Ovis aries: one gene and its partners. The protein of the gene in region 6 binds, or shares a complex with, the protein of the main gene of each other region. Links are inferred from orthologs where the notes say so. Each region holds a gene or a part of one and is shown on either strand. Other genes may lie near its edges. The genes, in order: SNIP1, PPIL2, SNRPD3, CWC15, SCNM1, DHX16 and SNRPD2.

The links.
Region 1: DHX16 (region 6) and SNIP1 share a complex: the UniProt entries of both Homo sapiens proteins name them as parts of the minor spliceosome. The link is inferred for Ovis aries from reciprocal best matches to the Homo sapiens genes DHX16 and SNIP1.
Region 2: DHX16 (region 6) and PPIL2 share a complex: the UniProt entries of both Homo sapiens proteins name them as parts of the minor spliceosome. The link is inferred for Ovis aries from reciprocal best matches to the Homo sapiens genes DHX16 and PPIL2.
Region 3: DHX16 (region 6) and SNRPD3 share a complex: the UniProt entries of both Homo sapiens proteins name them as parts of the minor spliceosome. The link is inferred for Ovis aries from reciprocal best matches to the Homo sapiens genes DHX16 and SNRPD3.
Region 4: DHX16 (region 6) and CWC15 share a complex: the UniProt entries of both Homo sapiens proteins name them as parts of the minor spliceosome. The link is inferred for Ovis aries from reciprocal best matches to the Homo sapiens genes DHX16 and CWC15.
Region 5: DHX16 (region 6) and SCNM1 share a complex: the UniProt entries of both Homo sapiens proteins name them as parts of the minor spliceosome. The link is inferred for Ovis aries from reciprocal best matches to the Homo sapiens genes DHX16 and SCNM1.
Region 7: DHX16 (region 6) and SNRPD2 share a complex: the UniProt entries of both Homo sapiens proteins name them as parts of the minor spliceosome. The link is inferred for Ovis aries from reciprocal best matches to the Homo sapiens genes DHX16 and SNRPD2.

What each region holds. Positions count from the first base shown.
Region 1 is NC_056054.1:12,368,528-12,372,027, reverse strand, and holds part of SNIP1 (smad nuclear-interacting protein 1), read left to right. Parts: intron 1-324; coding exon 325-427; intron 428-3,500. UniProt on the Homo sapiens protein: Required for pre-mRNA splicing as component of the spliceosome. As a component of the minor spliceosome, involved in the splicing of U12-type introns in pre-mRNAs. Down-regulates NF-kappa-B signaling by competing with RELA for CREBBP/EP300 binding.
Region 2 is NC_056070.1:72,136,005-72,140,077, reverse strand, and holds the start of PPIL2 (RING-type E3 ubiquitin-protein ligase PPIL2), read left to right. Parts: upstream 1-1,273; 5' UTR 1,274-1,357; coding exon 1,358-1,389; intron 1,390-4,073. UniProt on the Homo sapiens protein: Has a ubiquitin-protein ligase activity acting as an E3 ubiquitin protein ligase or as an ubiquitin-ubiquitin ligase promoting elongation of ubiquitin chains on substrates.
Region 3 is NC_056070.1:71,542,488-71,544,927, reverse strand, and holds the end of SNRPD3 (small nuclear ribonucleoprotein Sm D3), read left to right. Parts: intron 1-67; coding exon 68-260; intron 261-1,707; coding exon 1,708-1,769; 3' UTR 1,770-1,940; downstream 1,941-2,440. UniProt on the Homo sapiens protein: Plays a role in pre-mRNA splicing as a core component of the spliceosomal U1, U2, U4 and U5 small nuclear ribonucleoproteins (snRNPs), the building blocks of the spliceosome.
Region 4 is NC_056068.1:15,092,237-15,096,525, reverse strand, and holds the start of CWC15 (spliceosome-associated protein CWC15 homolog), read right to left. Parts: upstream 2,801-4,289; 5' UTR 2,651-2,800; exon of another isoform or gene 2,200-2,650; intron 1,431-2,199; 5' UTR 1,408-1,430; coding exon 1,277-1,407; intron 638-1,276; coding exon 525-637; intron 1-524. UniProt on the Homo sapiens protein: Involved in pre-mRNA splicing as component of the spliceosome. Component of the PRP19-CDC5L complex that forms an integral part of the spliceosome and is required for activating pre-mRNA splicing.
Region 5 is NC_056054.1:101,063,930-101,067,909, forward strand, and holds SCNM1 (sodium channel modifier 1), read left to right. Parts: upstream 1-1,180; 5' UTR 1,181-1,300; coding exon 1,301-1,402; intron 1,403-1,576; exon of another isoform or gene 1,577-1,613; coding exon 1,614-1,684; intron 1,685-1,923; coding exon 1,924-2,012; intron 2,013-2,110; coding exon 2,111-2,208; intron 2,209-2,322; coding exon 2,323-2,411; intron 2,412-2,812; coding exon 2,813-3,007; intron 3,008-3,640; coding exon 3,641-3,740; 3' UTR 3,741-3,795; downstream 3,796-3,980. Other genes in the region: LYSMD1 (lysM and putative peptidoglycan-binding domain-containing protein 1), read right to left, coding at 220-399. UniProt on the Homo sapiens protein: As a component of the minor spliceosome, involved in the splicing of U12-type introns in pre-mRNAs. Plays a role in the regulation of primary cilia length and Hedgehog signaling.
Region 6 is NC_056073.1:27,451,493-27,455,720, forward strand, and holds the start of DHX16 (pre-mRNA-splicing factor ATP-dependent RNA helicase DHX16), read left to right. Parts: upstream 1-1,428; 5' UTR 1,429-1,584; coding exon 1,585-1,791; intron 1,792-3,128; coding exon 3,129-3,379; intron 3,380-3,462; coding exon 3,463-3,625; intron 3,626-3,918; coding exon 3,919-3,975; intron 3,976-4,228. UniProt on the Homo sapiens protein: Required for pre-mRNA splicing as a component of the spliceosome. Contributes to pre-mRNA splicing after spliceosome formation and prior to the first transesterification reaction.
Region 7 is NC_056067.1:53,040,971-53,045,106, reverse strand, and holds the start of SNRPD2 (small nuclear ribonucleoprotein Sm D2), read left to right. Parts: upstream 1-1,336; 5' UTR 1,337-1,398; coding exon 1,399-1,400; intron 1,401-2,753; coding exon 2,754-2,933; intron 2,934-3,903; coding exon 3,904-4,078; 3' UTR 4,079-4,136. Other genes in the region: QPCTL (glutaminyl-peptide cyclotransferase-like protein), read right to left, coding at 373-582. UniProt on the Homo sapiens protein: Plays a role in pre-mRNA splicing as a core component of the spliceosomal U1, U2, U4 and U5 small nuclear ribonucleoproteins (snRNPs), the building blocks of the spliceosome.

The DNA of each region.
Region 1 (3,500 bases), on a different chromosome or scaffold from region 6:
TCGAGGGGAGAAAAAGAATCAGGGTGACTTCTAGGTTTTTTGCCTGAGGAACAGGGTGGATGGTGGCACTAATTATCCAGCTGGCAGAAAACAGAGGAAAGTGTCTTGGGTGGTTGGGAATCTAGAGTTGCTATCTAAGTGAGAAGTTCTAGTAGGCAGTTACGTATGTGGAAGACATAGGACCAGAAAAGTGAAGCTCCTGATTCTTTTAGTGTGATCAGCAAAGACATGGTGTTTGTGTTAGTTGGATATGCCTGATGCTTGGAGCTGTTTTGTATGAGGGAATGAAAGTTGAGATAAATGTGTGTACCATTTTCTGAACAGGTCCCCAGCCAAAAAGAAAAACAAATCCTCAGGGAGAAGAAGCAAGTCTCCCCGGAGTAAGAGAAGCCGAAGTCCTCACCACTCAGCAATCAAAATAAAGCAGGTAAGTGGACTGAGATGTTTTCGTACTGGCTCCAAACCTAGAGCCTCTCCATCATAGCTAAAGTGGTGTGTGTGTGTTTTCCTGTACCTGCAGTGGGCTTCTCCAAAAACTGGGCTTTTTTTTTTCTTTTTTCTTCTTTCTTTGTTAAACTTTTTATTTTGAGATAATTGTTGATTCACATGCAGTTGTAAAAGGTAATACAAAAGCCACAGTTTGTCCCAATAGTACCATCTTACAGAATTATAGAACAATATCCCAACCAAAATGTTGACATCAGTTCTGTCAAGATACAGAACATTTCCATCACCACAGGATTCCTCAAGTAGTTCTTTTATATCACACCCAGTTCCCGCCTACCCTTACCCCTCCAACTCCTGGCAGCTTCTAGTCACTTCTCCATTTCTGTTATTTTGTTTCCTCAAGAATGCTATGTAAATAGAATCACACAGTATGTAGCCTTTCTGGATTGGCTTTTTCCACTCAGCTAAGTTCTTTTGGAATTCATTTATATTGTTGCTTTTGTCTGTAGTTCCTTCGTTTTTATTGCTGAACTGTAGTCAATGGTATGGATTTAACCATTTGTCCATTAAAGTGTATCTGGGTTGTTAGCAGTTTTTGGCTATTAGACATAAGACTGCTGTGTATACATTTCTGTACAGGTTTTTGTGTGAACATAGGTTTTCGTTTCTCTGGGATAGATGCCCAGGAGTGCAGTTTGTAGATGGTATGGTAGGTGCTTTTTTTTTTTTTTTCCTAAAACATTAATAAATTGTTTTCCAGAGTGCTGTGTTAGTTTGCCAGGTCTTCCATAACAAAATACCACAGACTGGTTGCCTTAAACAACGGAATCTAAGAGGCTAGAAGTCAGAGATCAAAGTTTCAGCGGTTTGGTTTCTCCTGAGGCCTTTCTCCTTGGCTTGCCTTCTTTGTTGGGTCCTCATAGTCTTTCCCTCTGTGCTCGCCCATCTCTGACTCACATCTTCTTTAACCACATCAGCCATATTGGATTAGGGGCTTACTCATTTTAACTCAATCAGTTCTTCAAAGACCTTACCTGCAAAAAATCTGGTTACAGTCTGAGGTGTGGGGGTTGAGACTTCAGTATGTAAATTTGGAAGGGGCGCAATTCAGTCCTTACAGTGGCTATCCCTTTTTATAATGTGAGTGATCCAGCATTTGGTATTGTGACCATTTTGACCATTCTGATAAGTGATAGTGATACTGTGATTTTAATTTGCATGTCCCTGGTGGCTAATGACGTTGGGCATCTTTTCATGTGTTTATTTGCCATCTGTGTTTCCTCTTAGGTAAAATGTCTCTTCAGATCTTGTGCCTATTTTCTAGTTGGATTGTTTTGGGTTTTTTTACTACTGATTTTTAAGAGGTTTTTTTTTTTTTGGTAATATATTCTTAGATACCAGGCCTTTTTGGAGTGAGAGGTTTTCCAGTATTTTCTTTCCGTCTGTATCTTGTCTGTTCATTTTCTTAAAAGAGTTTTCCTCAGAGCAAAAGTTTTTGATTTGTTTGGAGTCCAGCTTGTCTGTTTTTCCTTTTACAGATTATGCTTTTGGTGTTATGTCTAAGAACTTCCCTGACCCTAGAACCTGAAGATACGTTTTTCTTTAATATTCATTTAAGTCCATGATCTGTTTTGAGTTTGTTTTAATCTAAGGAAGGAGCCTTAAATCAAATTTCCTTTTTCGCCCCGTGGATATCCATTTACTCCAGCACTAGGTGTGGAAAGACAATTTTTCCTCCCTTTAATTGCTTTTGCTTTGTCAGAAATCAAAAGTGTGTGTGTGTGCCTTTATTTCTGGGTCCTCTGTTCTGTGCCATTGATCTGTCATTCTGCCAGTACCACAGTCTTGATTACTGGAGCTATATAATAAGTCTTAAAATTGAACAGACTGGTTCTTTCACTTTCTTCGTTTTAAAAATTGCTGGGACTTCCCTGGTAGGCCAGTGGTTAAGACTCTGAGGCATAGGTTTGGTCCCTGGCTGGGCGGAACTAAGGAGGCACATGCCACAGGACATGGCCAAATAAATAAATAATTGTTTTAGGAATTCTCGTGCCTTTATCTTTCCACATACATTTTAGAACAATCTTGTTTGTATCTATTGAAAAAACTTGCTAGTATTTTGATTGAAATTGTGTTAAACTTGTACTTTTTGAAAAATTTTAAAAAATTATGTAGCGTCTTCCAGTCTTTGAATATAGGTGTATCTCTGTTTATTTAGATCTTTGATTTCTTTTATCAGTGTTTCAGTGTACAAGTCCTGTATGTGTTTTGCTAGATTTGCACTTAAGTAATTTTTTTAAGTTATCATTAAATGATGGCTCTAGTCCATGGGGTCGCTAAGAGTCGGACACAACTGAGCAACTTCACTTTCACTTTCATGCATTGGAGAAGGCAATGGCAACCCACTCCAGTGTTCTTGCCTGGAGAATCCCAGGGACGAGGGAGCCTGGTGGGCTGCCATCTATGGGGTTGCACAGAGTCAGACACGACTGAAGTGACTTAGCAGCAGCAGCAAGTGATATTTTGAATTTCAGTATTTACTTGTTCATGGCTAGTACATAGAAATATGATCCATTTTTGTATGTTTATCTTACACCCTGTGGCCTTACTGAACTCATTTATTTGGCCTAAGTAAATCCCAACCTAAAACTTGGGATTTTCTGCATAGATAGTCACGTCTGCACAGGGGCAGTTCTGTCTGTCTTCCTTTCCAGTGCATGTTCATTTTATTGCCCCTTGCTGCATGGCTGGGACTCTCGCACTGAGTGGAGCAAGAGCAGTCAGATCAGGCTCTCCTGCCCTGTCCTCATTCCTGAGGGACAGGCGTTCAGTCATCGTCTTGTGCTCTTTCCTCCAAGTTTTATTTAATTTTTGACAGTGCTGGGTCTTTGTTGCTGTTGTGGACTGGAGAATCCCAGGGACGCGGGAGCCTGGCGGGCTGCCGTCTGTGGGGTCGCGCAGAGTCGGACACAACTGAAGCGGCTCAGCAGCAGCAGCAGTGGACTTTCTCTAGATGCAGTGAGCAGAGGCGACACTCTTGTTGTGGTATGCAG
Region 2 (4,073 bases), on a different chromosome or scaffold from region 6:
TGCCCTGCACCTTGCTTGGGGCTTCCCAGGTGGCAAAGAACCTGCCTGTCCATGCAGGAGACGCAAGGGACACCGGTTTCATCCCTGGATTGGGAAGATGCCCTGGAGGAGGGCATGGCAACCCACTCCAGTATTCTTGCCTGGAGAGCCCACAGACAGGAGCCTGGCGGGCTGCAGTCCAGAAGGGTGGAAGAGAGTCAGTCGCAACTGAAGGGACAGCACGCAGCTCGCAGGCACTTTGCTTGTGACTGGAGATAGCAGACGAGCAGTTGGGGTCCTGGCTCTTGGGGAAGCCATGTCTCCCTGAAGAGAGAGAGAGGGTGTGTGTGTGTGCGTGCGTGCGTGCGTGCATGTGTGGCTAGACAGTACACAGATGGATTAGTACAGGATTACAAGTGGTAACAAGCCCTTGTAGCTGTATGGGGTGACTGGCTGGATAGTGGTACTCTGAGGAGAGTGGACCCTAGAGGGGGAGGAGGAGAATTCTGCTTTAGCAGACATACTGAATTCGAGTTCACTGGGTTGCCCGAGTAGAGGGCAGGAGTCTTGAGTGCTGGCCATTTAGCGTTGGGAGTCAAGCGATACAGGCGTTTAAAGCCGCGAGCCCGGGCAAGGTCACCCAGTGCTTGAGTGTAGGGGGAGGTCTGAGGCTTGGCCTGGGGCACCCCAACGTGGTGGTCCGGCCGAGGGAAGAGGCCGAAGGGATCACGAAGGCTTTGGACCTTTGGGCTTGATGGCCACCTGCCCCTGGGTAGCCCAGGAGAGGGGGCTGCAGGCAGTGCGGTCCCGGTGAGCGGTGAGAGGGCGGATAGCGAATGTGGGTGTCCATCTGGAGGTGCCGGCCTGGGGCAGAGATGGGGCCAAGGCCGGGGGAACTTCCGGGCTCCAAGCGGAAGACCTGAGAAGCCAGGGCAGACCAGGGCGGGTTTGGGATGGGATGGCGTTGAGCTGCGACCAGGCAGGCAGGCTAGGTAGGCGGTGCACAGAAAGCTGCAGAGACGGGGAGGCTTCGACGCCGAAACTGCTCAGCCCCCGGGCGCGGGGAGCCCCCGGGCGCGGGGAGCCCCCGGGCGCGGGGAGCCCCCGGGCGCGGGGAGCCCCCGGGCGCGGGGAGCCCCCGGGCGCGGGGAGCCCCCGGGCGCGGGGAGCCCCCGGGCGCGGGGAGCCTCCGCGCCCGGCGGGCGTGCACTCGGGGTGGGGGCGGGGGCAGCCAGGGACCACAGTTCCCGGCGTGCTCAGCGCTTGCTTCCGGGGCGGTTCGGCGAGACCCGGAAGTAGTTACGGAGTTCGTCCGAGACGCCGCGGTCGGAGGTGTGCTTTTCCCCCGTCTTCTGCGCTCGCTGACCCTGCCGTCGCCATGGGGAAGCGACAGCACCAGAAGGACAAGATGTGAGTTGAGCCGCCACCGCCGGGAGCGGGCCTGTCCGCCCCGCGCCCCGCCCCCGAGCTCCCGAGACGCCGCTTCCCCGGAAGCCTCCGCCGCTCCGCGCGGGTTTCCGGGGCCCCGCGCTCTCCGGCCCGCCGACGCCGCCTCGCCGGAAGCCTCCGCGGGCTCCCCCTCCGGCGCGGGTCTCGGGGGTCCAGTCCCCTCGGCTCCTCAGGCTCGCCAGCTTTTCCCTGGGGGCGTCTCCTCGGGCGCGGTGGTCGTCCCTCGTCCCCCAGTCCGCTCCCGAGCTCCAGCATCTTCCAGTTAAACCCACTTGGGCCCCCGAGCTACCGTCGAATTTCTTTGATTTTCTTAACCGCCAGACGATATTCAGGACCGCTTTCCTTTAGGATGGACTGGTTGGATCTCCTTTCTGTCCGGGGGACTCTCAAGAGTCCTTTCCAAGAGTCTTTTCCGATGGTTTGGTTTTTACATGTGTGGATGTAAAAGTTCGAGTATAAAGAAGGCTGAGCGCCGAAGAATCAATGCTTCTGAACTGTGGTGCTGGAGAAGACTCTTGAGAGTGCCCTGGACTGCAAGGAGATCAGCCCTGGGTGTTCATTGGAAGGACTGATGCTGAAGCTCCAATACTTTGGCCACCTGATGCGAAGGGCTGACTCATTGGAAAAGACCCTGAAAGATTGAAGGCGGGAGGAGAAGGGGACGGCAGAGGATGAGATGGCTGGAGGGCATGGGACCTCCCTCAGTGGACAGTTCAGTTCAGTCGCTCAGTCGTGTCCAACTCTTTGCGACCCCATGAATCGCAGCACGCCAGGCCTCCCTGTCCATCACCATCTCCCGGAGTTCACTCAGACTCACGTCCACCAAGTCAGTGATGCCATCCAGCCATCTCATCCTCGGTCGTCCCCTTCTCCTCCTGCCCTCAATCCCTCCCAGCATCAGAGTCTTTTCCAATGAGTCAACTCTTCACATGAGGTGGCCAAAGTACTGGAGCTTCAGCTTTAGCATCATTCCTTCCAAAGAAATCCCAGGACTGATCTCCTTCAGGATGGACTGGTTGGAAATCCTTGCAGTCCAAGGGACCCTCAAGAGTCTTCTCCAACACCACAGTTCAAAAGCATCAATTCTTCGGCGCTAAGCCTTCTTCACAGTCCAACTCTCACATCCATACATGACCACAGGAAAAACCATAGCCTTGACTAGATGGACCTTAGTCAGCAAAGTAATGTCTCTGCTTTTGAATATACTATCTAGGTTGGTCATAACTTTTCTTCCAAGGAGTAAGCGTCTTTTAATTTCATGCCTGCAGTCACCATCTGCAGTAATTTTGGAGCCCCCAAAAATAAAGTCTGACACTGTTTCCACTGTTTCCCCATCTATTTCCCATGAATTGATGGGACCAGATGCCATGATCTTCGTTTTCTGAATGTTGAGCTTTAAGCCAACTTTTTCACTTTCCTCTTTGACTTTCATCAAGAGGCTTTTTAGTTCCTCTTCACTTTCTGCCATAAGGGTGGTGTCATCTGCATATCTGAGGTTATTGATATCTCTCCCGGCAATGTTGATTCCAGCTTGTGTTTCTTCCAGCCCAGCGTTTCTCATGATGTACTCTGCATGTAAGTTAAATAAGCAGGGTGACAATATACCACCTTGATGTACTCCTTTTCCTATGTGGAACCAGTCTGTTGTTCCATGTCCAGTTCTAACTGTTGCTTCTTGACCTGCATACAGATTTCTCAAGAGGCAGGTCAGGTGGTCTGGTATTCCCATGTCTTTCAGAATTTTCCACAGTTTATTGTGATCCACACAGTCAAAGGCTTTGGCATAGTCAATAAAGCAGAAATGTTTTTCTGGAACTCTGTTGCTTTTTCCATGATCCAGTGGATGTTGGCAATTTAATCTCTGGTTCCTCTGCCTTTTCTAAAACCAGCTTGAACATCAGGGAATTCACGGTTCATGTATTGCTGAAGCCTGGCTTGGAGAATTTTGAGCATTACTTTACTAGCATGTGAGATGAGTGCAATTGTGCGGTAGTTTAAGCATTCTTTGTCATTGCCTTTCTTTGGAATTGGAATAAAAACTGACCACTGCTGAGTTTTCCCAATTTGCTGGTATATTGAGTGCAGCACTTTCACAGCATCATCTTTCAGGATTTGAAACAGCTCCACTGGACTTCCATCACCTCCACTAGCTTTGTTCGTAATGATGCTTTCTAAGGCCCACTTGACTTCACATTCCAGGGTGTCTGGGAGTCGGTGATAGACAGGGAGGCCTGGCATGCTGCGATCCATGGGGTCACAGGGTCAGAGGCGGCTGAGCTGAGCTGTCTGAATGGCGAGATGAGGACGATCCCCTGTGGTTTTCTGCCTTCCCCTTGACCCCGCTTCAGTCAGCGTCTGCCCGCGTTGCTCCTGTCGGGATCCCTCAACTCCGGGGGCGGCTCCATCCGGGGGTCAGCTCTCTGTCCTCGCTTCCTGGGGCGTGCCGGACCACCGCTCTCCCTCTGAAGCCCTTCCTCGGTGTCTGGGACACCACTCTCTGTTTTCGGGTTTCTTCAGAGACGGTGCTCTCTGGGTTCCCTCTCCTGGGTCCTCTCCTCCCCAGACCTCCTAGGTCTCCTCCCGCCGCTTCCTCTATTTCACACTCTCCTCGGGTGATGGCCCCAGCCTGGCTTACAACACCACCC
Region 3 (2,440 bases), on a different chromosome or scaffold from region 6:
CATGCCCCCTGCCCCCTGCTCTCTGCCGGTGCCCGTGACCTTACTGACGAGGGCGGTTCCCTTACAGATGTCCAACATCACGGTCACGTACAGAGACGGCCGCGTGGCCCAGCTGGAGCAGGTGTACATCCGGGGCAGCAAGATCCGCTTCCTGATTCTGCCCGACATGCTGAAGAACGCACCCATGTTGAAGAGCATGAAGAACAAGAACCAGGGCTCGGGTGCCGGCCGGGGCAAGGCGGCCATCCTGAAGGCCCAGGGTAGGTGCTGCGGGCGCGGGGCTGCGCCGGGCAGACGAGCCGGGGCCTGCTAGGGAGGCCCTGTGGCTGGGCAGCCAGCTCCACACCGCTGCCCCGCAGTCCTGGGGACCCCCAGACCCCACCTTCTCGGTCTTGCCTCACTCGCCCCCACTCAGGACGCGCACAAGATCCACAGCTGCTCCTTAAGGAAAGACGGGCTCAGATGAGAGCGGATGAGTCCGCTGTGGTGACTGCGGGGAGCCTGCCCCGCGCTGCTCGCTGAGCAGAGGCGCGGCCCTGAAGGGCTGGGGGGGTGGGCCCTGTGTGGCTGGGGTGTCTCCTGATGCCCAGCGTGAGCGAGAGAGGTGGTGTGGGGAGGGGCACTCTCAGATGGGAAGTCAGCCGTCTGGGGCCATCTTTTACCCGTTAAAGGAGGCTGAATGCGATTTTCCTTTGCTACGTTCCAGAAGTGGGACGTGGTCTTCCCAGTGATGCGGCCTGATCGTTTTCCCTGGGTTAGCCCACTCAGTGTTCAGGGTCAGGGTCCTGAAGAGTTCTGCCGTGTTGATCAGCTAGGAAACGAGTGAGTCGTTAGGAGCAGTCTGAGTATCTATCGATACAGAGCCAGAAGGTCCCCGGATGCCCCTCAGGCCTGTAACTGCAGCAGGCCTGTCCCACTTCAGGTGGCCTTGGAGCTCCGAGGGGCCTTGCAGATGCCCTCCAGGAGAGCCGGTCAGGGAGCCTCCTCGCCCCTCCCGGCGGGGACTGGAGCCCTGGCCCTCCGTCCAGGGGAAGGTACGGAGGCTGAGCTGCAGCTGCTGCTCCGCTTCCTCGGGGCCGCCCTCCCGTCTCTGTCGGGGCTCTAGGAGGCGGTGCCCCCAGGTTCTCACGGCCTGCCTTCCCTCCTGGGTCAGCTCCAGGCTCTGAGAGGAGAGTCCAGAGGCCGGCAGGGTATCTTCCCTTCTTCAAAGCCACTGGTCCCCTCTTCGGACCTGAGTCAGAACAGCGGTCTTCATCGAGGGGTGGTTTGGGGTTTTCACCTGTGGTTCCCCGGCCCCCATTCAGAAACATTCCACGTGCAGAACAGCTCAGAGAACAAGAATCCTCACCCAGATTTAATAGACGTTAACACTTGACATCTGTTTCGGAATTTTACGTGTGAATTAAATGCATCTGTAGTGTTTTGCTTGCTCACCCTGGGGCAGCTCTGAGAATTCATCTTTTCTCTGGTTCCCAGGCGGGCCCCCCAAACCACCGTCCCTGCGAGGCCCTGCCCCCAGCTTCTGGTGGGGCAGTGCTGGGCCAGGAGACAGGTTCAGGGTGTCCTCTCCAGCTCTGCCTGGCCACCCGCCCCTCCTGGGGGCGCTTTCCCCGTGAGGTGTGGCGGGCGGGCCTGCTGCTGGACTGGCTCCTCGGTGGTGAGGGTCCGCACCGACCTGCCTCGTCTTTTCTCTCCCCTACCTTTCAGTGGCCGCAAGAGGGAGAGGACGTGGAATGGGACGTGGAAACATCTTCCAGAAGCGAAGATAGATTTTATCTGTTGGACAGAACTTTGCTTTTTTTTTTTTTGTTTTAGGTTATCTGGGTCGGGGTGCGTGCCTATGTATATGTCCTAGGTTATCTGTTGACATCATTTTCTTTAGATGTGGGTAAGATGTTAAACTAAATAAATATGGTGGCTTTTTCTTTTTGAGAATCTGAGGACTCTGTTCCTTTTGTAGTTTTTTTGCTGTGTTTGCTTGGGCCGCAGCTTAAGCTTTGACACCCTGGGAGGTGTGCTGGGGAAGCGCCAGTTTGAAGTAGCACAGTTATTGATGAGCACGGGGGCCGCCGTCCCAGCCGGCACTGGCTAAGCGCTTGGAGGGGCTCCGAGGGCGCACAGGTTCCCTTGTTGGCACACAGTCATGCACGCGGCAGCCTCTTCAGGAGCACTGTCAGCTCAGCTTAAACAACGGGACACACAGGTCCTGCCTGTGGGGAAAGAAACCAAGACCCAGAGCTTACAGCCTGCAAGCCCCAGTGACTCAGCACCTAGCAGAAGTAATCTAATACGAGAAGGTCACTCAGAGCCCCGTGGCTCCTGCAGCCCTGGCTTCCTAAGCAGTGCTGCGCTGACCCGGGGGGCAGGGTCCTGTGTGTTCGTCAGAGCGCTCGGCGTGTACTGGCACAGCGGCGGCTGCTGACGCAGAGACGGGGTGTGC
Region 4 (4,289 bases), on a different chromosome or scaffold from region 6:
CACCAAGAGCTTAGGTCTTAAACATGACAGTAGGGACTATAACAACAGTGGCAGGCAAGTAAGTCCTTGACAAATACCTGCCGAATGAGTTAACAAAAGTATTGATTTTATTATGGAAACTGTAGCCTCAGGAAACTTAGGATACAGTTTACACATGCTAGAAATAAAAATGGAAGAATTTCATAGACAGAAACCATGGGGCCTTAAAAAGTCTGGCTGCTGTAAATAGTCAAAAACTCCTTAATCTGAATTGAAATAACAGTTGCTAAATATCCCCTAGCTCTTTCTAAAACAGAGGCATAATAAGATGAAATTGGTATCAACTTCATTATCATCTCTAATCCAATCCAATATAATCTAATCCAATCAATCCAATCCAATCTAATCTTTCAAGAAACTGCTATAGCTCTCACCCCACATTTAAAAGCAAACAAACAAAAATAATAATCCATTCCTATTACCACATGAAAGAAAAACTACTGTCAACATAATGTTATGAGAGATGTCTAAGGTAGTATTGGTACCTCGGGTTGGCCGATCTCTGTTTTTTTCTCTTGCAGCAGCTCTCTCTCTCTCCTCCAACTCTCTCCTGAAGTCACGGTTTCGAACTTCTTCAGGGGCATCCTGAGTGGTCTGTCTAAAGTAGAAACAAGACAAGGCAAAGTTACTTCTAAAAAACACACGGCTGTAGTAATGGAAGACAATTCAAGAAACACAACTTCAGCCTGAGTCCTAAAGCAGAAAACTCCACTAGGGGATAAACAAAATCATCAGTCTAATCCAAAAGTTACTAAGAGGCATCCTGTGATGTCTAAAACCTCACACTAAATCAACATACTTTTAAGAACCTCAAACTAAATCAACAACCTTTAAGAACCTCAAACTAAATCAACATACTTTCCCATAGTAAGGCAGCAGGTTGATCAAAACGCTTATACTTTTTGTTAGTATGCTAACTCAGGGCTTGTTACAGCAACACTTTTAATCTCATACTGATTTGTATTGATAGTGCTTGCTCCTCCTGACAGAATGTATTATTAGTCATTGTTCAATCTACATATAGAAATTCCTGGTTAACTGGAATTTCTGCTTAAGGAATATCTGGTAGCACTTTAAAATCATGGAGCATAATTCTGGGTGTCTGAAACACTACTACATTCTACTCCTATGAAAACAGATAACTTGAGTGATAGTAACCCCAACATGCTACCTCATGACCACATCATTTAACAGACTTGGTCTTGCTTGTGAAACAAAAACTAAAAGGCTTCATTACCTATATTTTATCTTTGTATGAGAGGGTAGGTCTCTGCTTGAATACTGCTTTGAGAGTTGGCTCAAATCACCCTCACCTTTTCCTCTTCCACCTCTTGCAGGTTCAAAAGTTGGCCGAGCTGCTGTTGTCATCTTTTATGCTTTGAAGAAAAACACTGTCAAGTTATTTTCAATATGACAAACTCTCATTTTGAAAAGCATTAATCTATAGCCATCCTTGTGAAATAATTTCCCTAGCTCATTCCCTCAAACATCTGTGACCCCTGGCAAGCCACCAAGTTTAAGTTTCTGTCATCTGTGAAATGGGGATATTCCTCAAAAGGTTATTAAATCAGGAGACGTGACATATCAAAACCTTTATAAAATACAGTACAGCCATGTCTGAATTTAAAACATCTCCACTCAACCTCACGCCACCGGACTCCTTACTCCCATTTCATCTAAACCTCACACAGCAGAACAGGCTAACAACTACAAAAGCAAAGACATCTTAAAAAAAAAATCACTGACAAAGTTACTGAGTGTTCTAGTAAAAAAAGTGTGTTAAGCTTCAATGACAGTTACATAGGCAAATATCTCCAACAATCTTTTGTTGATCAAATTTCCTCCAGTAGCAGCCAACATAATATAAATTAGATCTTTTCCAAGTTACAATTTAAGAAATGCTGGAAACACAAGAGCCCACCCTCAAAGGACTGTAATAACCAAAAATTAGGGACCCGTTTGTGGTTACTGAAACATCCTCAAGCGTCAGAGAAGCAAGTGTCAGGGAAAAACTGGGGGAAATGATATACTTCTCTAGATTTTCCGGGGAAAAAAAAAGGGAGAGGGATGTATCCAGAGAGACAGAAACAGGGTTTCAGGTCTCTGGGGAGCATCGCCGCCTCCCCCCCAAAACAGTCATCCCTGGGGCGGGGAGTTCACCTCCGGGCTGTCGCAGGGAACTCGCTGACTCTTCACCCCTATCCCAGGGGGCGAGGGGCGGCCCTCTGCCGAGATGCCTTGGCGCTGCGCTCTCGGGAGCCGATCGGAGACCAGGGACACGCTCGCTAGGCGCGGAGCCCCACCACCAGTTCGCAGCTCCACCGCCTCCTCCGCATTTACGGGCTCTCTGACTCCGCCCCCAGCTTCCCCTTCCGGCCCCACCGACAGATGGCTCTCCGGTCTGCAGCTCCTGGGCCTCCGCGGCCTAAACCCGGTTAGCTGACTCCGCCCCCAGCTGCCCCTTCCGGCCCCGCCCACAGGCCGCTTTCCCCGTCAGGCCCCTGTGGGGACCGCTCAGTCAGCACTGGATTCTCTGCCTCCGCCCCCAACTACCCCTTTCCGGCCCCACCCACACTAGGCTTTCCTCGTCTGGCGCCTCCAGGGCCCGCACCGAGTTCTCTGCCTCCGCCGCCAACTGCCCCTTACGGTCCAACCCACAGTCTGCTTTCCTCTTGCCGCTCACTTTGGCCGAACTCCAACGCCGCTACCTCCGGAGATCATACAGACGCCATCTTGACTCTCCGCTCCCAGAAACCTCTGCACCCGCGGCCCAAAAAAAAAAAAAAAAAAAATCCCAAGACCCGGAAGCAAACCCCAAGCTCGTCAGGCGCCCGCGGAGGCAAGGACCAGTCAGCGGAGACCAAGGTGGAAGTCGAAGTGACGACGCACGGGGCGGGGCTTAAACGGCCCAGGGGGCGGGCATTTGAAATCAGTGCTTTAGAGTAGACCCTGAACGTTGTTGTGTAGCTTCGAGAGTCAATTAATGTGTGTTCCGTCTTTTCCTTTTCCGACCCCCTCCCAGATTCCTTCATTCCGGTACTGCGTAAACGAAGAGCCCCGAGTAGCCGACACCAAGTCCCCGGCTAGCGAGAGAGCATAGAAAAGGATTACACCAAACTGTTTAAATCCAACGGCTCCTGCTTCCTTACTCCTGAGCTAGACCCAACAAGCCTAGAGAGTTGGGCTACGGAAAGTAGTATTTGCATTTAATTGGATATGAAGAAAGAACAAATATGTACGGGGGCAACCACGATCTTTATAAAGGTACCATTCCTGCAAAAATATTAGTCTTCACAACGAAGGTTGTATTCGTAACGTTCGTTAAAATATTTACTTTTTATAAAAGCCTAAGTTCTAGTGGGAGGGGAGGTGTCACTGTCGAGATTCATTTATATACTAACAGACATTGAACGTTTAGAACGGTGGCCCAACTGCCAGGAGCCCTAGATGCAGTTACTATTGTAAGATGGCTACTCATGCGTTAGGGAAAGTTTTCATAAGGTAACGAACAGGAAAATTAAAAAATCACCAATCGTCCTAACTCCTTCCCCCACCAAAAGCCCTCTGGGAGCATGGATTTTGTTTGCCTTTCCAGTTCAACTTGGTATCTAATCACATAATCCTTGGCCACAGTAGATGCTCAGTAGATATTTGTTAAACAAATGAAAATTGAACTCCCCCCACCTTAGTTTCAAATGTAAAGAGCTCATAACATCGAACAGAAAAAAGCTTTCCCCACCAACGCCCCCAGAACTCCTTGAACGTTAAATGAAACAAAGCATAGAAAAAGTCCCTTCCCTCATAAAATTCAAATTGCTAATCTTGATTTTTCTTACCAAAGGTATTAATTACTCTCCTAATCTGCCACATCTCAGTAAAGGACACTACTACCATCAGGCTAGTTACTCAAACCAGAATCCCAGCGCTCCTCTTAAATCCCTTTCCCTTCACTTTTCTCATCTAGTTTACTTGCAAGTCTTCCCAATTCTACTTTCAGCATATACCCCAAATTTCATTCCACTGCCTTAGTCCAAGCCAGCATCATTTTCTACCTGGATTGTAATTGTCCCCTAATGATCTTCTTGCTCCCACTTTTCTCCCACAGTTAACTTTGCCTGTAAAAGTGAGAGTGATCTTTTAAAATCGTGAACCAAGTAGTGTTACTCTCCTGAATAAAAATTCACTGCACTTAGAATAAAAATCAAATTTCTTAATGTGACCTGACCTGAGTTCTTAGGGTTTGGTTCCTA
Region 5 (3,980 bases), on a different chromosome or scaffold from region 6:
AATGGGACAGGATTTGTTCCCACCAGACAGTGCAACACTGAGATGAGGAAACAAAAAGATAAAGGTGACCAAACCTTTATCACAGTCAATTTATCACAATTAGTTAATATAAACACAATTAAGAAAATTTCAGGGGAAGTTGCCTAGAGGGCCATACATTCTCATGAGGAATAAACCTCTTCTAATTGGGTGTCTACGTCCCAATCCTGGAAGACTCACCGTCACCCCGTATTTGAGTGCTAGTCCAGCCAGGGTGTCTCCGGGCGCCAACTGATGCTCCAGGCGTCTTTCCCTCACCGGGGAGCAGGCAGACTGCACCAGGCTTCCATAAGAACGAGCCCGGCTCCCTTGAAGCAGTCCTGACCCCCCGAGGGGGGCCTGTCTAGAGGGAGAAGCCATCTCCTCACCCTGCGGACACTGAGGTTACAACCCCGGGAGGCCCGGCCAAGTGACCGATAATGACGGGCTCGCGGTCCGAGAATGGGTATCTTAGAGGATTCCTCTCTTTCAGTCTTCTCTCTTAAGTCTCCCCGCCTCCCCCGGCGATACGCGACTTGTCAGCCGTAGCTTCTCCTCCCTGCAAGTCCCCTTCCCACAAATCTGTACTCCGACTATTCAGTCCCTACCTGAGTCTTTCCTTAGCACCCCTCCGACTTTCGACTCCCCACAACAACTCGCTACGTTGACCCCTGACCTTTGAACTCTAGCAGCCTCCTTAACACGCAGCTCAATTTGCCCCTACGTCTGGCAGCCCGACCTCCAGGCTCCCCAATACCCCGACTCCGCCCGGTCCCGGGGTTAGCCCTCTAGGGTCAGGAACAGATCAGGCCCACCCTATATGGGCTGTGGTTGCAGGCGAAGGGCGTGACAATAGCCAGAGTCTGTAGCACTCTTTCTCCGTCAGAGATCCTCAAAGGTATTCTCCAAACCAAATCAGTCACACCCTCAAATTCGGGCTCCTCATCTAGGTTCTTGTCATTCCAAACGCCTCGAATCTGCCAAGACGAAAGGGCCTGGATCCAGCCCGGCGGCAAGCTCTTTGAAAAAAGACTTCATTTCCCAAAAGGCCCCGCGCCGGTGAGGTCGCAGGGCACCATAAGAAATACAGTCCCCCTCGGCCGGCTAGAAGCTGGCTTCCGGGATCGCGCAGTGCATTCGTGGAAGCACACCCCCGGAAGTCAGGGGGCCAGCAGGAAAGAGACCGGAAGGAACGGAGACGACCCACTCCTGCTACGGTGGCCTGAAAGGCGTGGCGAAGGCGGCTGGATAGAGTTTTTGATTTCTGGGGCTCACAGTCTTGATGTCTTTCAAGAGGGAAGGAGACGATTGGAGTCAGCTCAATGTGCTCAAAGTATGCGGAGAGGAGTGCTTCCGAAGCAGCTTCACCTGCCCTCTGAAAGCTGTAAAGGAGCTGTTTTGTTGCTGTGGCAACAACTGGGGGGCGGAGTGGAGGGAACCAAAAGACTAGAGGTGGTGGTGACCCCTTTTTCACCGCAGATGTGTGTTCTCCCATGGTCTTTATTCCCTTTCAGTCCTCGTCTCTATCATTTCCCTTTTATCCTTCCCTCATATCCAGCTGATCCCGTGCGGACTTCTTCCCCTGTCTCCTGCAGAAACGAAGGGTCGGGGACCTGCTTGCCAGCTACATCCCAGAGGATGAGGCGCTGATGCTACGGGATGGACGGTGAGAGCGAGGAGTGGATCAAGTTTAAGGGTTTTGAAGTTAGAGACTCAAGAACTTTTGTTATTAAGGAGGAGAGCGGGAGTATCTAGGATTCTTTGGCTGGGAGTGAGTAACAGGGATGTGGGTGATGGAGACTGGGAGACTTGGGAGTTGGGCTTTGGAAATGAATGCTTGGACGGGGTGGGACCTATGACCAAGACTCCACTCCCCAGGGACCAATTATCTTTCTTACTCCCCAGCTTTGCTTGTGCCATCTGTCCCCACCGACCCGTCCTGGACACTCTGGCCATGCTGACTGCCCACCGTGCAGGCAAAAAACATCTGTCCAGTAAGTTTGGGAAAAGACAGACAATAGAGTAAACCCTTAAAATCTCTTCAGACCACCCTTGGTGCTCTGCTTTTAATCCTCTTCCCCTTTCTCCTCAGGCCTGCAGCTTTTCTATGGCAAGAAGCCAGCAGGAAAGGGCACAGAGCAGAATCCAAGACAGCATAATGAACTCAGGAGAGAAGAGACCACAGCAGAGGTAATCAGAGAGGGGAAGTTGTGTTCCAGGCAGGACTGTGCTGCACACCTTAGGCTAAAGGACTTTGGCTTATTTCTGGCTCTGAAGGCTCTGACTCTGCTGTCTCCATGCCAGGCTCCTCTCTTAACCCAGACTCGACTTATCACTCAGAGTGCTCTGCACAGAGCTCCTCACTATAACAGTTGCTGCCGCCGGAAGTACAGGTTAGTGGGATGGGAAAGCCAGAGGTAGGGAGGGACAAGAGATAGATAGCTCTAAAGTGATTATTTTCCTAATTGTAATCTGAGACATACTAAGTGTTCTGGGGGTGTTAACTTGTATTTCAGGAAAAAGATTTTTGTAACTAAAAAAGTGCTTTGTAATCCTATTTGATTAAAAATTAGTGTATTTTAAGGGTTCTACAAAATCATAAGATAAAAAAAAAACCTTAAAAGATTTAGACTTTCCTAAATTTACTGGATTCCAGAATTCTTTTTATGCAGAACACTTACTAATATCTTGAGGAACACAAAATTGGGAAGCACTCCTATAAGGAGTTGGGAGTCACAGGAGATTAGGCCCTTTCCTTTACTGCTTTTACAGACTTCGATTCTTCTCTGTCCAGACCGGAAGCCCCTCGTCCCTCTGTCTCTCGTCCCCCTTTGCCACCCGCAGAGGCTGAACCCCAAGGTGGGAAGATCAGTAGAGAACCTGAGCCTGAGGCTGGCTCACAGACCAAGGAGTCAGCCACTGTCTCATCCCCCGCACCTATGAGCCCCACAAGAAGACGGGCCCTGGATCATTACCTCACCCTTCGAAGGTGAGTATGCAGAATTTTTCCTCAGTTTTTCCCTTTTATCTCTGACCCTCCTTGTTTCAGAGCTTCTCAAGTGTTTTTACTTATCCCCCGGGGCTTCCCAGGTGGCACAGTGGTAAAGAAGACATCTGCCAATGCAGGAGATGCAGGTTCGATTTCTGGATCAGGAAGATCCCCTGGAGGAGGGCATGGCAACCCACTCCAGTATTCTTACCTGGAGAATCCTGGCGGGCTACATTCCATAGGGTCACAGAGTCAGTTCCTCTTGAAGCAACTTAGCACACGTGCATGCATGCACAAAGACTCCTTACATATGTAACTTTTTTTTCAAATAGTTCAGGAAATTAACTACAGTTAGATAGAAAGAACTATTGGGGCTTCCCAGGAGGCTCAGCAGTAAAGAATCCTATAGTGCACAAGAGGCAGGTTCGACCCGAGTTGGGAAGATTCCCAACTGGAGAAGGAAATGGCAACCCATTCCAGTATTCTTGCCTGGGAAATCCCATGGACAGAGGAGCCTGGCAGGCTACAGTCCATGGGGTCACAGAGTTGGACATGACAGAGCACTCGCACACATGCTTTTCTTAATTTAATAAACTTCCTTTCCTGACCAGTTCTATTTTCTGGTGTTTCCAGCTCTGGATGGATCCCAGATGGACGAGGTCGATGGGTAAAAGATGAAAATGTTGAGTTTGACTCTGATGAGGAGGAACCCCCTGATCTCCCCTTGGACTGACATCCTCGTTCCCCATTCATTTCACAAATAAACTACAGCCGGCGCTGGGAGCCCAGCTTCTCCTGAGTCTGGTTCCTTGTTTCAGGATTTCAGATCTGTTCATTCTCAGCCCAGCCAATTCTTCTCTGCAAGGTACACAGCTCCCCACACTTCTGACCCCTCCCCCACCTTCTCCCACAGTCATGCCAAGCGTCAGCTGCATGCAGCCTGGTGCCCTATTAATAAGTCTGTCAGAAGGAG
Region 6 (4,228 bases):
ATTAGTTTTGACCCAGGAAAGCAGAAGTAAGAAGCTCTGAGATGCCAGGGGTGTTCACAGTCCATTTCAGAAACAGAAAACAGTGCACTCATGACATCAATGATGTGGAACTACTTGTGGCTGTTAGTTGGAATAACAAATGTTTAGTTTCCCAACACAGTGTCAGATAAATCCAATTAATTGTACAAGTATGAAGCAGAACCAGAGGCCAGACAGCAGTCAAGCAACAAGTTCTGCTTATTTAAAATTAAGCAGACACCAGTGACTTTCTCAAGCTGTTAGCAAAAGAAAAAAAAAGCAGAATACAATTTGCATATTTCTTAGTTTGCAGATCTTTTAAAATAACATTATGAGATAGCACCAAGAAAAGAGGGTACCTTTGCTTGTTCTCCACATCTTGAGTTTTCATCTGCCTGGAGTCCTTGATAAGCCTAACCTGTATTCATGTCTTGCAGAAGGTCCTAGCAAAGGTCACTCCTAATTAGTTGATCTGTAACAAGCATGGACCTGATCTTCTAATTTGAATGCCCCACCCCACAAGCGCCCACACACACCTTGCATTATTTTTGGCTCCATATAACTTAGTATTTTATATTTTTATCTTGTCTCTGTCAGGCTGGTCCCCACCCCCAACCCTCTGCCACTGTAAATTCAGTAAGCGATTTGTTTCTGATTTGTTCCTTGCTATATCCCTGGGTACTAAAACTGTGCCTGGCCCACACTGAAAGTGTTGGTCGCTCAGTTATGTCCGACTCTTTGTGACCCCATGGACTGTAGTAGGCCAGGTTCCTCTGCCCATAGAATTCGCCAGGCAAGAACACTGGAGTGAGCTACCATTTACTCCTCCAAGAGGGTCTTCCCCACCCAGGGATAGAACCTAGGTCTCCTGCATTGTAGGCAGATTCTTTCCTACCTGAGCCACCGGGCATTTTGCTGCTGCTGCTGCTAAGTCGCTTCAGTCGTGTCTGACTGTGTGACCCCATAGAGGGCAGCCCACCAGGCTCCCCCATCCCTGGGATTCTCCAGGCAAGAACACTGGAGTGGGTTGCCATTTCCTTCTCCAATGCATGAAAGCGAAAAGTGAAAGTGAAGTCGCTCAGTCGTGTCCGACTCTTCGCGACCCCATGGACTGCAGCCTACCAGGCTCCTCCATCCATGGGATTTCCCAGGCAAGAGTACTGGAGTGGGGTGCCATTACCCACCTGAGCCACCAGGCACTTTAGGTTCTTAATATAGTTGAATGAAATGAATGGGTGTAATACTCACGAATGATCAACAGAGGGCAACAGAAATTCAGTAGGGGAAGAAATGAAAATGTTTTATTCCGAGCTTCGCGTACAATTACGCGAGATTTGAACTCGCTCGGCCACCGTAGTGCATAGGCCGGAAAAGAGCAGCCACTTCCGGCCTCAGCGGTCCAGGAAGATTGTTTTGGACTATCGGAAACCGAACCCCTCGGTTCTCAGGCAGCTCCATTCCGGAGCAGAGGCTCCATCCTGGAGCTCTAGGCCCCCGACCCGCCCGGCCGCCGACGTGGCAGCTGGAGACACTTTCAGGGCCGGGAATAGGGAGCGTGTTGTCGCCATGGCGACACCGGCGGGGCTGGAGCGCTGGGTGCAAGACGAGCTGCACTCGGTGCTGGGACTGAGCGAGCGGCACGTGGCCCAGTTCTTGATCGGTACCGCGCAGCGCTGTGCCTCGGCAGAGGAGTTCGTGCAGCGCTTGCGAGACACCGATACCCTGGACCTCAGTGGGCCGGCCCGGGACTTCGCCCTGAGACTCTGGAACAAGGTGCTGGGAGAGGCGGGACCGGGCGTGGGAGCGGCGGGAAAGTGGGTGGAGCAGGGGAGGGGCCCCCAGGTTACTTGTCCAACGGAGTTTGGGCTCACTTGGGCTAACTGTCCAACGGAGAATTAAGCTCAGTTTGCAAGCAGTTATCACTTTCGGGCTGGACGACCACTTCCGTGGAGAAGGTTGAGGAGGGCTTAAGGGTTGACTCATTGGAAAAGACTGATGCTGGGAGGGTTTGGGTGGGGGCAGGAGAAGAAGGGGACGACAGAGGATGAGATGGCTGGATGGCATCACGGACTCAATGGACGTGAGTCTGAGTGAACTCCGGGAGTTGGTGATGGACAGGGAGGCCTGGCGTGCTGCGATTCATGGGGTCGCAAAGAGACGGACACGACTGAGCGACTGAACTGAACTGAACTGAACTAAGGGTCTACAGAGCAGTGTTTCTCAAACAGGTTTAGGATTCATCCACGGCTTTTGTTAAAATGAGGATTCCGATTCGGTAGGTCTGGGATGGTTTCTTCATTTCTTCATTTCTAACAAATCTTGTAAGTTTTCGGGTGATGCTGGGTGTTGCCCACCCTTCGAAGAGTGAGTCTATAGAAGAGATGTGTGGGCAGTGTTGTGGGAGGGTAGAAGTGGTGTGGCTGTGATCGAGAAAAGCAGGCCCAAAGATTATCTGGAGTTTGTTGGGTAAAGAAAGGGGAAGAGTAAAGGTGTAATGGTGAGCTCCTGGAAGGCAAGACTGTGATTTTTGTCTTTGTATTCATACCATCTAATTGTAACCTGCAGAACAAGAGCTCAGAAATTATACAGTAAGACTAAAAGTGTTGAACTTGTTCATGGCAGATAACTTGGTGTGGCTGTCCCATTTGCACTTGGTGAAAGATGAGAACGTACTTGATGTGAGGGTAGGAGCTCTGTGTTAATCCGTTCACCAGGGTATCTCTGGAGGCCACTACAGTGCTGGCCCGTGACAGGGCTCTGCAAAACAATCTGGACAATCCTTGTCCAGTCCTTGGGTAGGAATGACTTAGTCATCGGGAAGAACAGAGGCTGAGCAGTTGAGAATTGAGTGTGAGAATGTAAAGTCCATGAGGGCAGAAAGTTTTATCTCTTTACCCCTATATCTCTAGTACCTAGCAGGGGGTGCATGGGATAGGCTTAGGAACTGAGAGACCCCATTCGGGCTGATGGACATGGTGTGAAGCCTTGGGGAAGAGACAGAATGACAGCTGGTTTAAGATCAGTTACTCCTTAAATTAGGAACTGGGCAGAGTAGGTGGGCAGAGATCAGGAGTTGCTTACATCCCCTTGACTTCTCTCTCTCCCGACAGGTCCCACGGAAGGCAGTGGTGGAAAAGCCAGCTCGGGCAGCCGAGCGAGAGGCCCGAGCCCTGCTGGAAAAGAACCGCTCTTATATGTTGTTGGAGGACAGTGAGGAGAGCAGCGAGGAGACTGTGGGCAGGGCTGGGAGCAGTGTCCAGAAGAAGCGGAAAAAACGGAAACACCTCAGGAAGAAACGTGAGGAGGAAGAGGAAGACGAGGAGGAGGAACAAGTTTCTGAGAAAGGAAAGAGGAAGACAGGGTAAGTCAGAAGTAGGGGGCGAGAGGGTGATGGAACAGGAAGCCTCTGAGTGCCCTCAGTTAATCCTCCGGGGTGGGCTGCAGGGAGAAGAAAGAGCAGACGGAAAAGCCGGAGTCGGAGGATGAGTGGGAGCGGACAGAGCGAGAGCGCCTTCAGGACCTGGAGGAACGCGATGCATTCGCTGAGCGGGTTCGGCAGCGGGACAAGGATCGGACTCGCAACGTCCTGGAGCGGTCAGACAAGAAGGTGCATTGGAGCAGCACTTCCCATCAGTCCCCAGGCAGACCCCTGGATCCGATCTGAGGTTGGGTGTGACCGCAGATAGTGATCTCTGGGAAGACAAGGAGCCGCCTCCAGTAGTCTGGTCATCTCTTTGGGTCTTTGGGCTAAGGTGGCTCTCTGCTGAACCTGTAACCACAGAGATTCCTCAGTGAAGGGGGTACATTTCTTTGTGCTAGGGAACATCTGAGTGATCCTTGTGATTCTAGACAGGAATGGCTGTGGGCACGGGGACTTTGACCACTCTTGCCTTCTCCTAGGCTTACGAAGAGGCTCAGAAGCGCCTCAAGATGGCTGAGGAAGACCGGAAAGCCATGGTGAGTCCGTGTGCCCAGGAAGACAAAGGGAAAGGCTTCCTGATGGAGTGGTTAGGGTAGGGAGGAAAGATGCAGAGGAGGTGTGGTGGGGCTGTTGGGTCTCTGGTTGAGGCGCCAGCTAAGGATAGACTTAAACTGTAGTGGGAAGGAAGTGGCCCAGAAACCCTCTGACTCCTTAGGATCAGATCAGACTGTATGTTAGTGAGGGAAGTATTTCCCTGTTCCTGGGACTTAAAGAGGTGTACTCAAAAGG
Region 7 (4,136 bases), on a different chromosome or scaffold from region 6:
TCAGAGGTTTCTAGAAGTCCCTCCAAACCCATCCTGCGCAGCCCACGGCAATCCTGATGAGGGAAATCAAGGCCCAGCGAGAGGAAGGGACTCTTCCAAATAGCTGCCTTTAGGATTAGAACCCAGAACTCCAAGTCTTACTACTCCAGACTCTCTTACGGGGTAACCGCTATTACAAAACAAGCCCGAAGCCTCATTGCATTGGAAAGGGGTATGCGCTCTAAGAACGGAGACGGCGGCACCTGCAGCTAGGGCCATAAGGTAAAGACAAAGCCAGGTTAACCCAACCTAGGGTCTTCCCCATGAGACCGTGGGGAAGGGGAGGCAAGGAGTAAGGGCTTCCGCAGTGCCCATGTCCCCGCCCGTCCTCACCCGCAGTTCCCGGCCCAGCGGCAGCTCTTCAGTCTGGCTATGCCAGCTGCTCCAAATGGTATAGAACACCAAGGCTACTGTCAGAGCCAGCAGCAGCTGGGGCAACAGCTGTGCCCGCGGTATCAGGCGCCGCTTGGGCGGTGAGGGTCGCTCCAAAAGGCTGCGTTCCCCGACCGGGAGTCGGGGCCGCCCGCGGCCCCCGGAACGCATGGCAGCTTGGCCCTGAAACCGGTCGGAGACGGCGGATAGAGTTAAGGCCGAGCCAAGTCCCGCCCCATGAAATAAGCCAGACCAATGAACAACAAGAGCGGCTGCACCATCCGCCCCCCCCACGAGCAGTAAAGCAAATGGGACTTTCGGCCTGAGGACGCGGCTCCTTGTCTTCAGGGAGCTTTGGGGGTTGGTTCCCCCGGGTTGCACAACCCAAAAGGGAGAGCGTAAGAAGTAGGCGCCGCCTCAGCGCAGGAGGGGAAGCCAATGAGAAGCGTTTGATCACCGAAAACACTAGCCTTACTGGGCGCAAATCCACGCCGCTCCCGGATGGACCCTCTCCCCGGTCCAGAAAAACCAATATACACGTAAATCAACAGTTTCCGAAGGAAAGGGGAGGTGCCCATCCCTGAAGCGAGGAGGGGATTGGCTTCGCCAAGGCCGCGCCCCCAAAGGCAGAGCGGGCGGGCATTTGGAAATGGCTAGTATTCCCCTCTTTCAACCTATGCGGTTCTGCAACAAAATGGTTTTAATCAGTCCCGCCTTCTTTTCCTCTCCATGGTCGTGAATATCTGCCCAGCACTGTCTTGAATGGTGGCCTGGAGCTACTTACTAAGTAAGGCTTCTACTCGGCAGCCTCCGCCGAGGGCGGAGATCGCTATAGCAACGGGCCACGCCCCACTCGCTGGTTGGGTATGCGCAGGCGCGCGCGGAAGTGGGCCGTAGGAAGAGGAAGTCCCGCCTCTGGCTCTCTGTTCGGGAGGCACACCACGGAGGAGACGGTAGTGGCTTGAAAACGCGGTCACCATCATCATCATGTGAGGCCGGGCTGGGTTTGGGTGGCGGCAGTGGGATTGAGGGTGTAAGTTTGGCCACTTACCGGTTGAAGTGGGTAGGCAGAAGTGGGCGCGGAAGCAAACATTTGGGGGTAAAGTGGCGTATCTTTCTACTGATGAGTTGCGAGGGGACGTGGGGCCTTTGAAGGATCCTGACTTCGGGAGCGGGGACAGCTTTATCAGATAACAGGCTGGGCTTTCCCAAATAAGCAATCTTATTGAAGTGAAGTTTAAGAGGAAGCGTTTTTACGAATTAAAAACCTGGGAGATGAGGAGTACGGACTTGTAGGAAAAGCGGTCTTAAGGTAAGAGGCGTAGCTGGAGACAATTGGCTTTTCGATCACATCCGCCATTGGTATGGATAACGAGTTATGGGGATGATTTTACTTATGTAGTCACTCAACAGTTATTTATTGAGTTGTTTGTGTATTAGGCTGCTTTAGACGCATAGCTTATATCACTGAATTACTCCACTCTCCCCAAGGGAAAAAAAATCCTCTTCTACATCTTACGGGATGGGAAGAGGCAGGCAGGAAACGTGCTGGTAATAAATCCGTAAATTCTAGAATGTGTTAGGGAATAGGGTTTTGAATAAAGAAATAACAGAGCAGGGTAAAACAGCGTGGAATGTCTCTTGTGAGAGACAGAACGCATGAAGGAGGCAACACTTGAGCAAAAACCTGAAGAAAGTGAGAAAGCAAACTGCAAAGGTACCTGGGGACGTACCTAGGCAGAGGGAAAAGTGAATAGAGGGGCCCAAGAAGGTTTGCCTGATAGCTTCAAGAACCACTGAAGAGGCCATTGTGCCTGGAACAGAGTGAGGGTAAAAGCTGGGCTTTACTGTTTACACTGAGAGGGTACTCAAGAGTGAGATGATTCTTGACACCACCCTTGAGACTGCTCTGTGGAGGGCGAACTGTTGGGGAGCGTGGGTGGAGGCAAGGAGACCTAGGAAAGATGATGGAGGTTTAAGCCAAGGTAAGAAATTCAGATTCTGATAGGTTTTAGTGGCAGATGGCAGGATTTGCTGACAGATTGAATGTAGGATGTGAGAGAAGAAAGAGTCAAGTTGCTCAAAGAACCAGAGGGATGGAGTCACCACTGACAGAGATGAGGAAGGCTGTGGATAGTATTAAGTTGGGGTTATGGGGGGTCTGGAGTTCAGTCTAGGTCATGCGAGGATTGGAAATATCCATTAGGCATCCAAGTGGTGATAGCAAGAGAGAGGACTGAGTACGAAGAGAGGGATATGTGTCGGGGAGACACCAAGGGAGAGGCCATGAGCACCCAGGCTATGGGCCTGCTCACCTCTGGGTTCCATACTTGTCTTTTCAGGAGTCTCCTCAACAAGCCCAAGAGTGAGATGACCCCAGAGGAGCTGCAGAAGCGGGAGGAGGAGGAGTTTAACACGGGGCCGCTCTCCGTGCTCACGCAGTCAGTCAAAAACAACACTCAAGTGCTCATCAACTGCCGTAACAACAAGAAGCTCCTGGGCCGCGTGAAGGCCTTCGACAGGTGAGCACCAGGGTCTGGGGAGGTATGCTGTCCGGGCCTCAGTTTCCTTACCTGTGAAATATGCGTCATAATAATATCCCTCAGAACAGTAATGAGGCTTCAGTAATACTATGTATGAAAAGCACTTGGCTCAGTACCTAACACATGATAAATGCTCAGTAAACACATGCAGCCTTTAGTTAGCATTTGGGAAGTGCTTTCCTCACCGTAGATTACTATATAGCAAGATACAGAGCTTTCCCAATTTTTTTCTTTTCTTTCTTTCACTCAGTCATAGTTCCCTGTATCCTCCTATTCCTTTGTGTGTGTGCATGAGGGCTAAGTCACTTTGGTTGTGTCTGAATCTGTGCAGCCCTATGGACTGTGGCCCACCAGGCTTCTCTGTCTATGGGATTCTCCAGACAAGACTACTGGAATGGGTTGCCATGCTCTCCTCCAGGGGATCCTCCCAACCCAGGGATTGAATTTGCATCTCTTATGTCTCCTGCATTAGCAGGCAAGTTCTTTACCGCTAGAGCCACCTGGGAAGCCCCCCATCCCTTTACCTTGCGTTAGTTTTTCTTCATAGCACTTACTACCACCTGACAGTATATTACAGGTGTGTTTGTTTACCTGCTTCGTGTTCTCCCTTCACTAGCCTGCAGAGCCCATGAAGACAGGGCTCTTACCTGGTTTTTTTTTCATTGCTCTAATCATTGTAAACGTTTGTTGACCGAGCTATTCCACACTGTCATCACACATGCCCATAAGAAAAATAGTGTGTTGATTCACTTAATTTTCACAACAGCCATAGGAGGCAGGCACCATGAATGTCTCCATTTTAGAGACGAGGAAACTGAGGCGCAGAAGGTGAAGTCCTTTGCCCGAGCCTCGGAGCCCTGGCTCTCCCCCTTCCCAGAGGCAGTGCCGCCCAGAGGAAGGGTCAGGACACACCCCTCACTCAGTCCTGCTGCCTCCCCGTCCCCACCAGGCACTGCAACATGGTGCTGGAGAATGTGAAGGAAATGTGGACGGAGGTCCCCAAGAGCGGCAAGGGCAAGAAGAAGTCCAAGCCAGTCAACAAGGACCGCTACATCTCCAAGATGTTCCTGCGCGGGGACTCTGTCATCGTGGTCCTGAGGAACCCGCTCATCGCTGGCAAGTAGGGCCTCCTCCCTGCTGTCAGAACTTTCCCCCTGGTTTTGCGAAGACCTGCCCTCTGTA